Caenorhabditis elegans: one gene and its partner. The protein of the gene in region 2 interacts with the protein of the main gene of each other region in a pairwise test. Each region holds a gene or a part of one and is shown on either strand. Other genes may lie near its edges.

What was found.
Region 1: the proteins of F57A10.4 (region 2) and F26A3.5 interact in a two-hybrid assay, tested with the Caenorhabditis elegans proteins (one large-scale study listed by BioGRID).

What each region holds. Positions count from the first base shown.
Region 1 is NC_003279.8:7,663,782-7,672,304, reverse strand, and holds F26A3.5 (DDE_Tnp_1_7 domain-containing protein), read right to left. Parts: upstream 4,577-8,523; coding exon 4,533-4,576; intron 3,769-4,532; coding exon 3,615-3,768; intron 3,563-3,614; coding exon 3,470-3,562; intron 3,401-3,469; coding exon 3,105-3,400; intron 3,013-3,104; coding exon 2,776-3,012; intron 2,725-2,775; coding exon 2,607-2,724; intron 2,562-2,606; coding exon 2,508-2,561; 3' UTR 2,405-2,507; downstream 1-2,404. Other genes in the region: del-3 (DEgenerin Like), read left to right, coding at 1-220, 467-628, 802-986, 1,336-1,576, 1,637-1,779, 1,823-1,979.
Region 2 is NC_003283.11:15,765,915-15,773,110, forward strand, and holds F57A10.4 (Sensor histidine kinase), read left to right. Parts: upstream 1-3,523; 5' UTR 3,524-3,525; coding exon 3,526-3,683; intron 3,684-3,726; coding exon 3,727-3,838; intron 3,839-3,881; coding exon 3,882-4,020; intron 4,021-4,069; coding exon 4,070-4,163; intron 4,164-4,211; coding exon 4,212-4,329; 3' UTR 4,330-4,446; downstream 4,447-7,196. Other genes in the region: haf-3 (ABC transmembrane type-1 domain-containing protein), read right to left, coding at 1-1, 46-130, 180-250; F57A10.2 (Major sperm protein), read left to right, coding at 661-678, 726-842, 895-1,183, 1,228-1,271; Nuclear hormone receptor family member nhr-60, read right to left, coding at 4,447-4,706, 5,573-5,679, 5,777-5,983, 6,038-6,141, 6,192-6,559, 6,972-7,196.

The DNA.
Region 1 (8,523 bases), on a different chromosome or scaffold from region 2:
TCAATCGACAAGAAATCAAACAATTCAAAATATGCAATATCAATGTCAATCTGTTATTAATTCGTGTACTTATCAGGGAATTCAGTTGTCTTCTTTTGATTGTTGTCGGAATTTGCTTTCAATGATTCCAAGTACAAATGGACTTTGCTGGGTGTGGAAAGATTCAACTATGTGGCAAAATTCAACGGGAATAAATCGACAATTTTCTATTACTTTCCAGGTACTTTTTTCAAGATTAGGCTAGCCTAATGAGATTTTTTATCCAAAAAGGTATTTATCATAATTTGAAATAATCGACGCCAGTTGTGTCTTATTTATATATTCATTATTTGTATACTAACATTGTGGGACTCTAACCAAAAAACCCAAATTTCCTCAAAAAAGTTCAGTGAATTACCAAAATTTCAACAGAACATTTTTTCATAAATCTTTAAAATAATTTTTAACCTTTCAAACAATTTTTCAGATGACTAGAAACTCTTGGTTCTCAACATATGTTCCAACTCATCCAGGAGTAGATATTTATCTGAGAGAAGATGGAAATGATGTGATGAGAATGGCAACAGAACTTGAAAATCCAATTCGATTATTAGATAAACGAGGTGTCAGACTGCAAATGAGAAAAACTGTAAGTTTGTCCATTGTGGAGATAAAAAATAAGATAACCGACAAAATGCGATTCGCCTCGGGGGCTCAAAACAAAGCCTGTGAGGTGTAGGGGGCTAAAACATTTTTTCAGAGTAACTTTAGAAAATCAGGATTTTTCTAAACTCGTGCACATTAATTTTAAAAAAATTTCAGAAAAAGGCCGATATCAGACGTACTTCTTGTGGATACGCGTTAGGAGATGCACGTAGAAGCGATGAACATGCATTCAAGAACAATCATACCAATTATCTAATGTGTAATATGTTGGTGGCAATGAGATATTGTAGTTGTCATCCACTTATGGCTGAACTTATTCATTACGACCCATCGTCTTATCGGTGAGTTTATTTCCAAATTTCTAAAATGAATGAAATGTTCGATTACTGGGTGTGGTGTCTGATTGCTGAAGGATTACTGTAGAAGTGTTGGTGTATTGGAACTGTACTGGTACATGGATACTGTTGAATTTCAATTTTTATGCCTAGTAACTAATTTCTCAGAAAATAATTATAAAGTTTGAGAACCTCATACAAAGTGGTAGAACGTCCGAGCAACCATCTCAATTTTCAAGATTTTTTGTTATTAAATTCTGCCTTTTCTGTGCCATTTTTAGTATTGGAACATAACAGTGATTCGTTACACCACTTTTTGAAAATTCCCGACTTCAAAAATTAGTATAAATTTCAGTGATTTCTTGCTGCGAGTAACCCAAACAAGTGTGTGCAGCGTTGATGCCTATGACAACTGTGCTCGCCGTTACATAGATCTGACGAGAATTGAAAATTGGGAAGAAGATATTCCAAAGGATCTTCCTGGTTATGAAGACGCAAAGAAATGTAGAAATGATAATCAGAGAAGTTGTTTGATCACTTCATATCCAGGAACAATTGAAGGATATGATCTTCCGGAAGAATACAGAACCACTCAGGTAAGTTGTAAAATTACAGATTATATTGTAGAAATGTTTATTCAAGTTAGCATTTTTCAGGATTATGTTTCCCGTTTGGTTTTGGAGTACAGTACTATGAGAACAACAGAAATTCTGGTCTCCAAAGATCCAAATATCTATGAACTTTTGAGTTTTATTGGATACAATATGGCTCTATGGTTTACAGTTGGGCATATTTTATGGTACTTGGAAAATTTATTTTCTTTCTACTTTTTATAATTTCAGGTCAATGTTTTGGTATGCAACTGGGTTATGTTGTCCAAAACGTCAATCATCAAATAGAATATCACCTGAAATCCGCCGGAAACGTAGTGTTTCGTCACCAGAACCAATTGTCGTCGAGCATCGGCCAAGTCAAGATGTAGCTTCAGGAGACACATAATTATTTTTATTTTCGAATTTTTGTGAAATTTCAATCACTCAATTTTATGTATATCTCGATCTCTTACAACTGTTTTGCTCCTGTTCTCTCTTTTTACCAATTTCCTCCCAAATACTCCGGTTCTCTGAGTCTTTCTTCATGTTTTGTGCAAATAAAAATAAATACGAATCCCGTCGTTTTTTTCATGATCAACATTCGAGACAACGGGGAAACGGAGGAGCAAACAGATCATGATGAATTCACGTGAATTTCTTTTTCAAAATATGATCAGTTATGACAGAGATGAGTAGATGAAGCAGAGAAGGAGATGGAACAGTTTCTATAACTTGCAAGAAAGAAATTAAATTAAGGTTGGAAATCAAATTTCATCGACTTTTCATGTGCCCTGTTTGCCTGTTTTATGTTTGTCTAAATGCTGAAAAAATATTCAAAAATCATTCATTCATGAGCACCTAAAACATAGCTAGATCAAGTTTACGACGAGTAGTTGTTTCTTCATTGCGAGTTGTTGGGCAGGAATCACAGGACTTAAAGAGTCTCCTTATAAAAATTGAGCATAGTTCGTCCGTCCACTGACAAATACTGAAATATTATATTTTTTAACCTAATTACGATTATATGACTCACTTTTTTCATTTTTTGCATTGTGTCACTGTGTTCGACAGCTTTTTTGATGATCGCATTATTTCGAAGAAGATCCTTCCAGTCATCAATATTGTTTGCTTCATCAGAACACAAGCTCAAGCTGCAATTTATATTTAATTATATTAACAGCAAGGAAATGGTTGAATCTTACTATGTAGCCAATAAGATGCTTGTGAAGACGTGTCTTCTTCTTCCATACGGAAATAGGAAAGGTTCGTTGCTCTTCACAAGTGACTCGATTTCAAGTTGAGAAATGAAGTTTTTGTCCATCTTTTCTTGAACCAAATCGAACTCCGCATGTGTTTTTACTTGGAAATAAAGAACTTGGGGACTTTTGCTTGGCGTATTGATGGGAACAGAATCATATCCAGTCAATGTTGCGCTGATTCTGAAAATGTATGAATTCATGAAAATAGTTAATTTCCATAGAATTGAATAGTTAATCGAACTATACTAACTAGACGAGTTTTTCTCACTTACACCAGTTTTTTCGACAATTCCTCCAGTGCTTTTGCTTCCTGTGGCATAGTGGTGTTCACGTTCACAAGAGCCATTCGATGCAGTCCAGTTCCATCAAGCATATCGTCTTCTGCTTCCATATCTTGTCGAATTTTACGCTTACGAGCCTGACTCTTCATTGATTTTGAAACATTGTATTGTTTTTTGCAGTCGACACAACTAAGTTTGAAGGTACTGGCTGGCAAGAGTGGATCATTAGATCTTTGACTGCTTGAAGAACCACCAGATGGATCCAGAACATCATCAAAAATTTCGGGCTGAAACATTAAAAATATGAAATTGACAGTTACACATTTATAACTTTTACTATAAGAAATTAGACTCACATGGTTGGTACTGGCTGGCAAGAGTGGATCATTAGATCTTTGACTGCTTGAAGAACCACCAGATGGATCCAGAACATCATCAAGAATTTCGGGCTGAAACATTAAAAATATGAGCTGTAATATGTGGTGCTTGTTGAAAACTGACTTCTTCACGTGTATATCCTGTAATAAGTTTCAGCGAATAAACGCCCTCTTCTCCGTCGGTAGACGTGAGATCTCCTGTTTGCAGGTAAGTTGTGTAGCCTGGTCGGTGTGGAAGTTTAATCTTATTCGGCCGATCTCTTGACATAGTTGCTGAGCTGAACAATACATAAATTGTTTCAGGTGATGTACTAATTAATTATTTGACCATCCAATTTATTTATAGTTTGAATATTCTTTCATTTGTTCATGAACAAGAGATTAAGATTAAGAGATTAAGAGAATTGAGGATTAAGATTAAGAGAGATTAAGAGAAGAGATAAAATTGCAACAAAAACTGCCTGAAAGTGTTTTCTGCTACTTATCGAACCTTCAAAAAAACAAAAAACCAAGAGAAACGAATGGTTTTTTTTGAAGATATACCGATGGAATAATTAGATTTATGAACTTTTTGAAAAAATTGTCACTTTGCAGTTCCACATTTTTTGAGAAGTAAGTTTCAACTTTGATGTTCCCTTTGCCATCTTCAAAGATGTTGTTCTTCTGAGATTTACTTTCACAATTGATTCGCTGATTATGTGTTGTACAAAAAACCTCTCCTTATTAGTTAGTCTTGCACTCCCTAATAGAAAAAAAATATATGGCAAGCGGGATGACCTTCGAAAAACAGTATTGCAACCATGCTGATAGAAGAAATACGGTAATTTGCGTACAATACACCTTTTGCGAATGTGCATGTATTATTTGCGTATTATACATGAATCGCGATCGAAAACTTGTGCAAGCCACAAATCGCGATTTATAATTTATATACGTTTGTACTTTGCGAATGTGCCTTTTGTATGTCTGAAGGTATGTACAATATAAAAACCGCGATTTAATTGTGTTGGTGCACGTAGACTCATCCAAAAATGATACTAACCTTGAGAATGTGCGAGCGGCGGAAAAATGTTCGAAATAACTCATTCCGGAGTATTTGTTTTTTTCTTGTGTATGTGACCTTTTGTCGTGTATGCGACCTTGACCTATGCCTCGGCGTAATTTTTTCCATCTAAACAAAATTTTTGTTTTTTTTTTTCAATGTTAAAATGAAAAATTTCTTAAATTTCTTACGAAAAATTTCTTACGGAATGTTCAAAACAGTAGTATGACAGTAGTTTGTAGTTTGACAGTAGTTTGAGAAAACAGCGCGCAAAAATTTGGAAAATTATGAACATTTTAAATATGTAAATAGCAAAACTTGTTTATTTCAGCATCCCATCTTCAACACATTGTTCAGCAGAGGTGTACAACTTTAATCAAACAAACTATCCAGGGCTGTGCGGTGAACGCGAAAATTCGACATTCGCCTTCGCCAAACTGGGTTTGACTGTATTTGATAAACTCAATTTGGCTTAAAAGAGTACTTAAAGCTCAAACATGCTTCAAATTAAGGTTTATGTTATACGGGATTTAATGCAGTAATAAACAAGTATGCTTCATGAAATGACGATTTTTATTCAAAAATTCACTGCTCGATTGCAGACTTTCATAGATTGATGGTTCAGATTTTCATTCGGTATGCCGGGCAGCCCTGATTGTTATATTACCAAAATACGGTTTTTTTGTCCTCATGAAAAGTTTCCCTAAAGACTGTTATGATTTTCACCTACTATTTTGAGACAATTTTTATATTCAATGCGTCATGCACGCGTTTTTGCATAAATCCAGTTCTAGGGTGATGTGGCTCATAGTTTTCACAACTCCACAATTCCCAACAAGTTTATTTCTTCACGTAGCTTCTTTACCAGAAGTAACGAAGGTTAAAACCCAAAACCTCCAACCAAGAATTTTTTAAAAATAGATTTATTGAGACCCGAAGAACTCGGGGGATGTCAATTGGGGGGATTACAACTCGGGGGATTGGCCCGCCCACAGAACCGTGGCTTGCAATACGCCATTTCTGCAACTGCGCACGGTTTCGAAACTGTATTTTTCTCAATAGAGCGAGAATTAACAAGAAAAATACAGTTTCAAAACCGTGCGGCAGTTGCAGAAATGGGCGCATTTCACATGAAAAACTCAAAATGTAAATAGTTTTAACAAGCATACAATTTTTTAAACTCAGAATTTGATTTCAAAATTATATTGCTTGCATTATGAGAAAATGTTGCCAGTTCATACCCTTCTATTGTAGGTTTAATCTTTTATATGAATGTTCCCGGGCATTTTCGGGCAAAGAAACACATTGTAAAATGTAGAAAAATTCGTGGAAATTATTTTCTTTCTAAACTTTGTTTCATGAAAAGTTGTGAGTCACTTGTTTGTCAATTGTCAAAAATCTGGAATGCAGCATTTTGTCAATTGTCAATTTTTTTAAATATGAAAGATGACTTGTGAATTAACAACTGAATATATATAAAATATCATTAGGGTGACGTTCAAATGCTTCAGGGAATTTTTTCATTTGTATCATCATATCTTCTAACACCCACCAGGTCAAGGTCCATTTGGTACAAACATTTGTACAGATTAATGTACAAAGTTTATTTTTCATCTTGGATGTTCAATATGGAAACTTCCATTGTAGGAACGTTTATTTTTCTTCCCTCGTGCCTGCCTGCCTACGGGCCCGCCTGTTTTCTGTAGTGCTTCGTTGGTGCGCATTCCTAATTTCCTAATAGTCATTTGATCATTTCGATTAATTCACTGAAAGTTCGATTGAGAAACGAAGTGATGTTTTCCATGTGCTTTACTCGGCAATTCGTCGCAACTTATCTTAACTTTAGCAACTTAACTTTAGCAACTTAAGCGCCAACTTTACCCTTCCGCAACTTATCCGCCAACATTAGCAACTTTTCTACCAATTTTATATTCTCGCAACTTTTAATCTGTCTTTAGCAACTTCTTTCCCGACTTTAGCAACTTTTTAACCAAGTTTAGCCAATCTTAAAAAAATTTTCAGTGCAAATTTTGAGGGTATCCCCGACTTTAACCTAATTTGCCCAACTTTAGCAACGTTTTTACCAAATTTTAGCAACTTCTGCGCTTGGCATTTCTAAAGTTTCTAAAGTTGGTGGATAAGTTGCGGCGATTTGCCGAGTTAGCAGTAGACATGCAGGTTTGGAAGTGATTAATTGTTGTGAAGTTTTTTGATTTGAGAGCAATGTGAGATCATTTCAAAAAAATATTCTCGAGAAAAAACTAATATTTTTGAACATTCAATGACGAATTTTTCAGTTAAAAAATGTTTTTCGAAACTTTTTCCTGGATCGTTGAAATTTTTTGTATTTTCTAGTAGCAAAAATACTTATTCCTGTATCTGAACCCCCAGTCAGTTGTTCCCTTTTCTCATATTGGAATCCTTCATTGCCCTCTCACTAGTTGCAGTAAATTTTGCTGCTTTACTATGTCGAATCAAATTTCAAAAACAACTGAAAAACTGAAATTCATGTGAAGAAATTGTGATCTTTAAAAATTACAACGTATACATCAAACATCGTTTTCTTCCAAAAAATGTTTTCGTGAACTTTTCGGACACGAAGATGCACTGCTGATATTGAAATAGTTTATCAAAAGAGTGAATCGAAAAACAGAAAACCAGAAAATAAAAAAGAACAAAAAAAAGAAAAAAAGACGAAAAATCAGTGTCTTTGAAAAACAGAAATATTGCAGTGGGAAAGTGTTATTTTTCAGGTAATCATTGATTCGCAACATTCGATTCATTTTTGACGTAAAGACACTGATAGATGGTCTATTTGGTCTATTAATTTTTGCGAAAAATAGAACAAGAAAATAACTGATGAATTAAAAATTAGAAATTACTATCAAAACATATGTTTTCAACGTAGTACAGATTGACGGTCGCTGATCAGAATAATTCTGAACAAAAGAGTATGTTTTTCTTGATGTTTTCTGGAATATTCCGCCAGATAAACTTGGGCTTGTTTGAGAACGAGGATTTTCTCTGAATGAATTTAGAGATTCGGGAAGTAAATACAGAACTGATTGGGAGTCCAGTTTATTTATTTCTTTAATAATTTTAGTCGCCCGCTCCCCACTTGCACTTTTCCCCAACTCTTCGCCAGTTACGTCGGTATTTGGCACAATTTTCTAAGAGCTGACAATACTCTGGCGCGAACTGCTTTAAAACCTTAATGGAAGTTTTTAGAATTCACCAGATTGTTGATAGATGGTTTAGTTGCTCAACAGCTACATTTTGCTTGGTAAAATTTTCCAGGGCGTAGAATACAAGAGTCAATTACACAAATACGATAAATTAACCCCACTGGAGGAAATATTGTTTATGCTTACAAGTTGCCATTGAATACTTTACCATTTTTTTGTAAAACTTTTTTGTTATTGCAATTTCCTGAAAATTGCAAGATTTCCAAAAAAAATTTCAACGATCAGGAAAATGACAGGACATATGTTCCTTGCTAGCTTGATCAGCTCGCCTGCTTATCTCTTCAATTTAATTGATCAAAAATCTTTCGGTCTATTTATTTAATCTACACTCACAATGTCGCCAGGAAAAGAAGAATGAAAAATGAGCGGTAATGAGAGGAAGAATCACAAATATTTAAATTTAATATAAATGCCCAAATAAATATGCAAACAAATACGTTTTTTTCAGATTTCAAATAATATTCCCTATTCAAAGATCTTTCCATTTCCATTACTATAATCTCGAACTGTCCTCTTCTATCCTTTTATGACGCCCGTACCAGATATATTATTCTAAATATTTTTCAAAGACGCGAATGTCTTCTTCACATGAAATATGTGCTCCTTCCTTTATCCCAAATGACTCAAAGCATAGAACACTTTTTGCTCGAAACTTGATATTGGGACGTGGGATCTCTAACTCTTGTCTTTTCTTACTAATTATAAGTGAGCACTTTTACTGATCTTTTGATTGTTATTTGTCCCGC
Region 2 (7,196 bases):
CCTGAAAATAATTTATATTTATTATAGAATTCCTTGTAAACTTACATTTCTAAACGCTTGTTTTGACTTTATTAGTGTGCTTTTTAAAAATCCCGTTGATCGTCCAACTTGTGGCGCGAAACAAAATAATCTGAAATATGAGAGCTTCAAATTAGATTTTAAAAGACACAACTAATTACCTGGTTGAGCTAGAAGGTATTGAAGAACATTTCGAACAACATAACCGGCTCAAATGTGATAAAAGTGACATGTGGAAAGCTGAAAAACTTGAAAATGACGCAATTATCTTCAAAACAGACAAAAATTTACAAGATTTTAATTGAATTAGTGAAAAACTAATCTGAAATTTATATTTTCCACAAATTAAATCGAAAATATGGTAAATTTTCCGGTAAAAACGAATTAAAAACGTGGAATTTTTCTGAAAATTCATTAAAAATGCGAGAAAATCGAGAGATGCGCCAGAGGGGCTGCTGGCGCATTTCCAGTTTTGCTGGCGCATATCTCGATATTGGAGGGAATTCAAATATGTTTTTGGAAAATTGAAATTTTTGAGGGGGATTCACGAATTAGTTGATGGAAAACGTGAATTTCAATTGGACCACAACAATTACAATTACAAATAAAAGAAAAACAACGTTTTTCTTTTATTTAACAATTATGAAGCTGGCAGCAAAGGTGAGTTTTTTCAATGTTTGTGTTTAAATCTACCAAATTTCCATCAGACCTTCACACCAAGCACCGCAGATCTTCCCTTCACAGATGCAGGTGCGAGCGAAGACTCGGGTATGGCCAATAAGCCCGGTGAGCCCGCTTTCCAGTTGTGGCTCGACGTGAAAAAGGTGTGAAAATGAGGTTCCCATGAGAATGGATTGGATAAAATCTTTATTCCAGGTGGTATTTCCAACCACTTCAGAACCATCCTATGTGAATCTCCGACTTCACAATCCGACAGACAAGAGAATCACATTCAAAGTTCGTTGCACTTCAGCGGAGCTGTTCCGTGTTCAACCGCCGATTGCATTCATCAATGCCGGTGCAACTGTCAATCTTGTGATGTGGAGCGCCAACACCCACCTGCAGCCGGAGAAGAAGCATTATTTCGCATTTTACCACAAAAATGCGTCTCCGAGTGCTCGTCAGTCTCCGCCACTATGGAAGGATGGGCTGAAAGACGCGGAAGGTGCGGCTGGCATAGAATTTTCAGAAAAAAATCTTTAATTTCAGGAGTTCGTCGTATCCCTGTCGTCTTCCTTCCTCCATCATCGTAGAAAGGAACGCTAATAAGAATTTTTACATTGAATTTAACGATCTAAAATTCATTTTTTGTAAATGCCACCAAATAAAACGTTCACTTGTGTTTTATGGATTTCGAAAGCGATTTATGAAAAATTATCGTTCTTTATCACGTAAACAGTCACAGGCAAAGCGGAAAGTGCCCAAAACGGTCCGTTCATGGACCGGGAACGGCTCAAATTTAAGAACGGTTCACGGTTCGATTCCCGGTCCGTCAACGGACCGTAATTGAACCGTAAGGAGACTAAAAAATTGGAAAATTTTTTCACCCTCCAGCTGCCCCCTTTTTCTTTCCCAATGCTCCACCGAGCTCCGGTCTTGCTCCAGACCGTCTTCCGGTGATCCTTCGTTGTAGCAATTCTATCTGCCTCAGCCGGTGTTGAACTTGTCCTCTGCCTGTCGATTGATTACTGGCCCATCACCTTACCATTTGGCCGTTCGCGCACGCGAGGAAAATCAATGGACTTCGCATAAATAGCGATCAGCTTGCGCTCGCGCATTTTCTTCTGGTTTTCACGTCTTACACCAACTTTTTCGATTGTATTTTCAGTAGTTTCTGATTCTCCATCTTGCCGTTGGACTTATATGAAAGCGAACGATAACAATTGACAGTTTCGTGTAGTTCAGAACTTATTTCGCATATTTCTTAACATCTACCTATACGTGCTCCATCTACTTGTAATATAGAAGTGGTACTTACCATATTTCCTCCATTAGTCTTGCATGCAAGATTAATTTTCGATTGGACCGGGTTGCAATACTAATAGAGGAAATAAGGTATATGCGTTCTACTTGAATGATACCTTAATTTCTTAAAATACACACGGAACAGAAACGATATGATTCCAGAATGTATTGTTAGTAAAATATTTTATGATATTTCAAAAAATGCTCCTGTTGCTCAGCTGAAGAAGACCAGCAGAGAGAGTGAACGTTGCGTATACACAGTATCTACCCAATTGTGGCATTTCATCTTTTTTATTGATATGTTTATAGGATTACATTAATATAACCTCTTTTACACACAATGTCATGCTTAATAGCCTCAGTTAGATCGCATGCGATTACGGGCCGCGTACGGACCAGTTGGACGGATGATAGACAAAATGGTTGCCCAGAGGAATTTTTTTTTCATGAAAATTGAGTTTTTGAAGTACCCACAATGCTATTTGGTCCATTGTAGCCAGTTGGCTAATTTTTTGCCGGATTCAAGGTTTAGTTTTAAAAAGTGCAGTTTTGCCGACGGGGACGGTTAATTTACGGACCATCTACGGACCGGCTACGGCCGAACTACGGATGATCACCAAAACGGAGGATAATACGAAACATTTTTTTCATGAAAATGGAGTTTTTGACGTGCCTACACTCTCCTTTGGCTAATTTGAGCACTTTTTCCGTGCTAGAACCTGAAATTTTCAAAAACAAAAATTTGATGCCCGGGACGGTTCATTTACGGTCCGTCTACGGGCCGGCGACGGACCGTCTACGGACCGGAAACGGCCCAACTACGGCTCAAGAGCCATCTCGGTCGGTAAATGTGGTTTTTGCTCTAAATAATGCATTTAACGACGTAAAAATGCTTGAATTAGCCAACTGGTATCATAGGTATTAAAAAATTCGTTTTCTTAAAATCCATTTTTTCCTCTTAATGGCCATTTTTTACATTCCCCGTAGTTTGCCCGTAATTGGTCCGTCCCGCTTTTCATATCCGTAGTTCGCCCGTTAATGGTCCGTTCCCGGTCCAAGATCCGTAAACGGACCGTACCCGCTTTGCCTGTGAGTGTGAAAAAAAGACATTGAAGCTTAATGTTCTGAAAATGCATATTAAAAGAAATATTTTTCCGGGAGCCATCAGACATTGAGGAACGAGAAACTCCAGAGAATTCAAATTTGTGGAAAAGTAGGCGGAGTCCATCTTTCAGGTTTATCAGTTCAACCAGTAATTACATGAAACAAGCACAAAAAAGAAGGTCTTCATTTTTTTTGTTGTAAATCTTAACATTCTGTTGTTTTTGAAAAATAATGTAAAGGAGCTCCACCCATTTTCTCACCAGCATGAAAGTTGGGAAAACAATTGTCACGTGACGTGTCTGATGCAGTCGCGCCCAACTGATAAAGTGTTCCGGCGCCAATGTTTTTTTTTTCAATTTAAATTTTAAAATTAATAATTTTTATCAATTTCCATTTTTTTAACGCATTTTTCATACGAAAAACAAAAAATTTTCAGACATGAGTTATCGGATACGCTTTTCCCTAATACCAGTTGGCGTTGCCCTGATTGCTGTACTTCTGAAGGCATCAGGATGGACTCTTTATCGAAAGAATATGGCGTTTGAACGAGTCGATAAGCAGATTCAAATGGATATTGAACGGCTTTTTCTAAATACGTAGGTTATAATAACATGAAACGTTTTAGAAATTGATTTTGAGATTGTCAAGGCTTGCGGATTTCAATATGGACTTGCCGGAAAAAATCACGATTCTAAAAATGGAAAACGAAGAGGGAAATACATTCAGCGAACCGTTTCTCGTCGGCAATTCGGTTAGAAGAATGCCTAAATAATATTTAAAATGGAAATTCTCAGTGGGAAGTTCGCGCCTATCATTATGCTGGTGAAGGACTTTCAAAATGGTGCTCAGGATTCGCTTCGAGGACTACTCGACAGTATTTTGATTACAAAAATCGGCGAATCGATGTGACGTTCGACTGCAACTCCAAAAATGGTTTTTTGCTAGTAGTATTAGTATTAAAATTATTTTAAAAATTTTCCAGTTTTTCCTCCTCTTCGAACAATCATCGGCGCCGTTCTAACTGGAATGTTCTTCATCGCGACGCTTTTGGTTTTCAGATTGTTTTCAGCAAGATTGTAGGATTTTTTTCAGAAAATATCTGTTAAAATGTTCATATTTTTCAGTCAAATTCGTAGTGGTGCTACCATGGATGCAAAAGAAACACCGATTTCCTTCGAAGAATCGTTTTTGGAAATAATCGAAAAATGGGATTCTGCAAATATCGATTCCGGTTTTGAATAACTCACATATGTACTTATTTGTGTGTGTAATTTTTATTGATTTTTGTTAACTAATATGTACATTTCCCATTTATTCACTTTTATTCTCACTAGTGAGAGAACTCGAATTATTAAATATTTACGAGTCCATTATATCTTCTATAACTCGCATTACAAGATCCTTTGGCAATTTCGCTACTTTCGGAGCCACGAGAAGTAGATGCAAATCCTTTTGCATTCTCTGCTGACGTTCGAGAACATCAATAATTTGAATTAATTGGGCGAAATGCGGGGGACCATCAGACCGGCTTCGGAGACAATAATTAAAAAGAGCATCTGCATATTTTACTCGCTCCAGTGAGATGATTTCCTGGGATTTGGCGGAGAGATCGGGGACGGCTGGAAAATTCCCTTTCCCCTTTAAATGTTGCGATTTCTGAAGCTCTACTACGGTACCAGGTACACGAGATAAAATATTCAAACGATTTTTAATTCGTTATTTTTTAATTTTCGTAAAAAAAGGTTTCTAAAAAAGGATCGATAAAATTGCGAACAAACAAGGAAATATTACAAAACCCTAAAATTGTGAGAATGCGTATTGCGCAACATATTTGACGCACAAAATATCTCGTAGCGAAAACTACAGAAATACTTTAGAAGACTTGTCGATTTACGGGCTCGATTTTTGAAAAGCAACAAATGGAGGCCCCACGAAAAGGGGAGCAGAACGAAAAGGGGATCTGCAAAAAGGGGATCTGCGAAAAGGGGAGATACGAAAAGGGGAGATACGAAAAGGGGAGCAACGAAAAGGGGAGCTGGCACTGTGCCAAACGCACAAAACGCAATTTTTCTCACGCAACGCACGTTGTTTTTTGAAATTTTCTTCTAGAAGATACGCTTAACAACACGCGATGCGTAACATCGGAGCATCGTTGTATCGTTTTCTTCGAGAAAAATAGCGTTTGGCACAGTGCCAGATCCCCTTTTCGTATCTCCCCTTTTTGCAGATCCCCTTTTCGTTCTGCTCCCCTTTTCGTGGGGCCTCAACAAATGAGTCGAGCCCGTAAATCGACAAAAGTGCTACAGTAGTCATCTAAAGTATTGCTGTAGTTTTCACTACGAAATATTTTGTGCGTCAAATATGTTGCGCAATACGCATTCTCAGAGTTTTATGTTCCCGTAATATAAAAAAATACTTTTTTGCAGCTTATCCCAAAAACCTTCGGTCGTGTCGAGACCGTATTATTGCATCGCAAAATAATTACCTGGATTACATAATACAATGGCTTTCAGTAACAAATATTCAATATTTTTAATTTGACAACGGATCAACGGTGCAACAGACATCACAGAAGCCGAATAATGGGTATCGCTGAAAATATTCAAGATTTTTTTTTCAGAATTAACTATTCGCTGCAAAAGTAATTGTACACTTCTCCTCGAGCAGTACGCGTAAAGCCAGGACTCACTTGAAAGTCATGGGTTCCGATCCGTCAGGCTCAATGATAACCTCTAAATTCCTTCTAATCGATGAGTACGAGATATGAAGGTTCGTACAAGCCAATGCCACGTGCCTAGTTAGAATCAGCTTGTCTCGAGAGCTGAGTCGATGAAAGAACATGAACGTTTTGGCGTATTCGACAGTTGTCAGTAAATTGTAGAAGAACCATTGTTTTCTGAACAATAGAACAAATTTCGTGTGAAAGTGGTGAATTTCCAGTTCAACTTACATGTTTTGACTGTGTTGTGAGTCTCTCGGTTTCCCTGGGGATGGTGGTTTCGGTAGTCTTGGCGGACCTAGCTGATCCCTTCGAAGAGGCCATCCGGGCATAGGCTGAAATTTGAACAGGATTGAAGAATATGCATAAATCATTTTCAACTTACCCCGAATCTATCGCCAAATCCGATCCTACACTCCGACTCCAGCAGGTACTCCAGCCCGCTGAACTCATTCCAATGCGGGTTATACGCGGATTTTCGAAATCTTTCAACTTTTGTCTCCAAGTAAACCAGCATGTCGGTTATGTTTTGCATTTTGCTTTCTATAGAATCGACTGGTTTTACAATTTGCATTTTATTAACAACAGCCGTCACTTGACAGTCATCATCCGGCTCTAGATCCTGCGCTCGTTTCACTAGTTTCTTAAAGTTTGACGACGACGCTGCTTTCTCATCAACTTCCATTGCAAGGGGGTTCATTCCGACAGATATGCATTTTTGATGGCGGCATGCACGGCATTTTAGAGGCACTTCTGAAAATGTAGATCAACTAAGTTTTTATAAGAGCTGGAAAGGACTTGGGTTCGGTAATTAGACAAAATAGTATGTTTCGTACTTCAACCAGTATTGTTTTGCTAGTAGCTAATTTAACTGAACACGTGGTGTCCAAGTGTCTCATTTCGGCTTGATCTACGTAGATCTACAAAAAATGCGGGAGATGAGACGCAGAGTTCTCAACTGATTTCGTATGGTTAAGTACGTGCTGACGTAACATATTTTTGAGCAAAAAAATTGTCGCATTTTTTGTAGATCAAACCGTGATGGGACAGTCTGGCACCGTTGGGCCATAAGCTAGACATGTATCAAAAGTTTCGAAAGATTCGTATGGACATTCCGTATTTTCTAAAAAGGTTTTTGGAAAATCGGCACAGCTCTATTCCTTACTTCGTTTTGTTAAATCAAAACAATCTCCTTTTGCTTTACATTCGAAACTCCGATCTGACACGCACATTCTTCGGAAAAACGTCTTGCATCCATTGCACGATGCCACGTCATAGTGATGACCATTTGCTGAGTTTCCACAAATCAGGCATTCAGTTGGGCGTTGGGGTTTTGTTGATTTTACAGCAGTAGGCGACGGCTCGTCTTCAGGTTCGTCAGCAGAGAAAG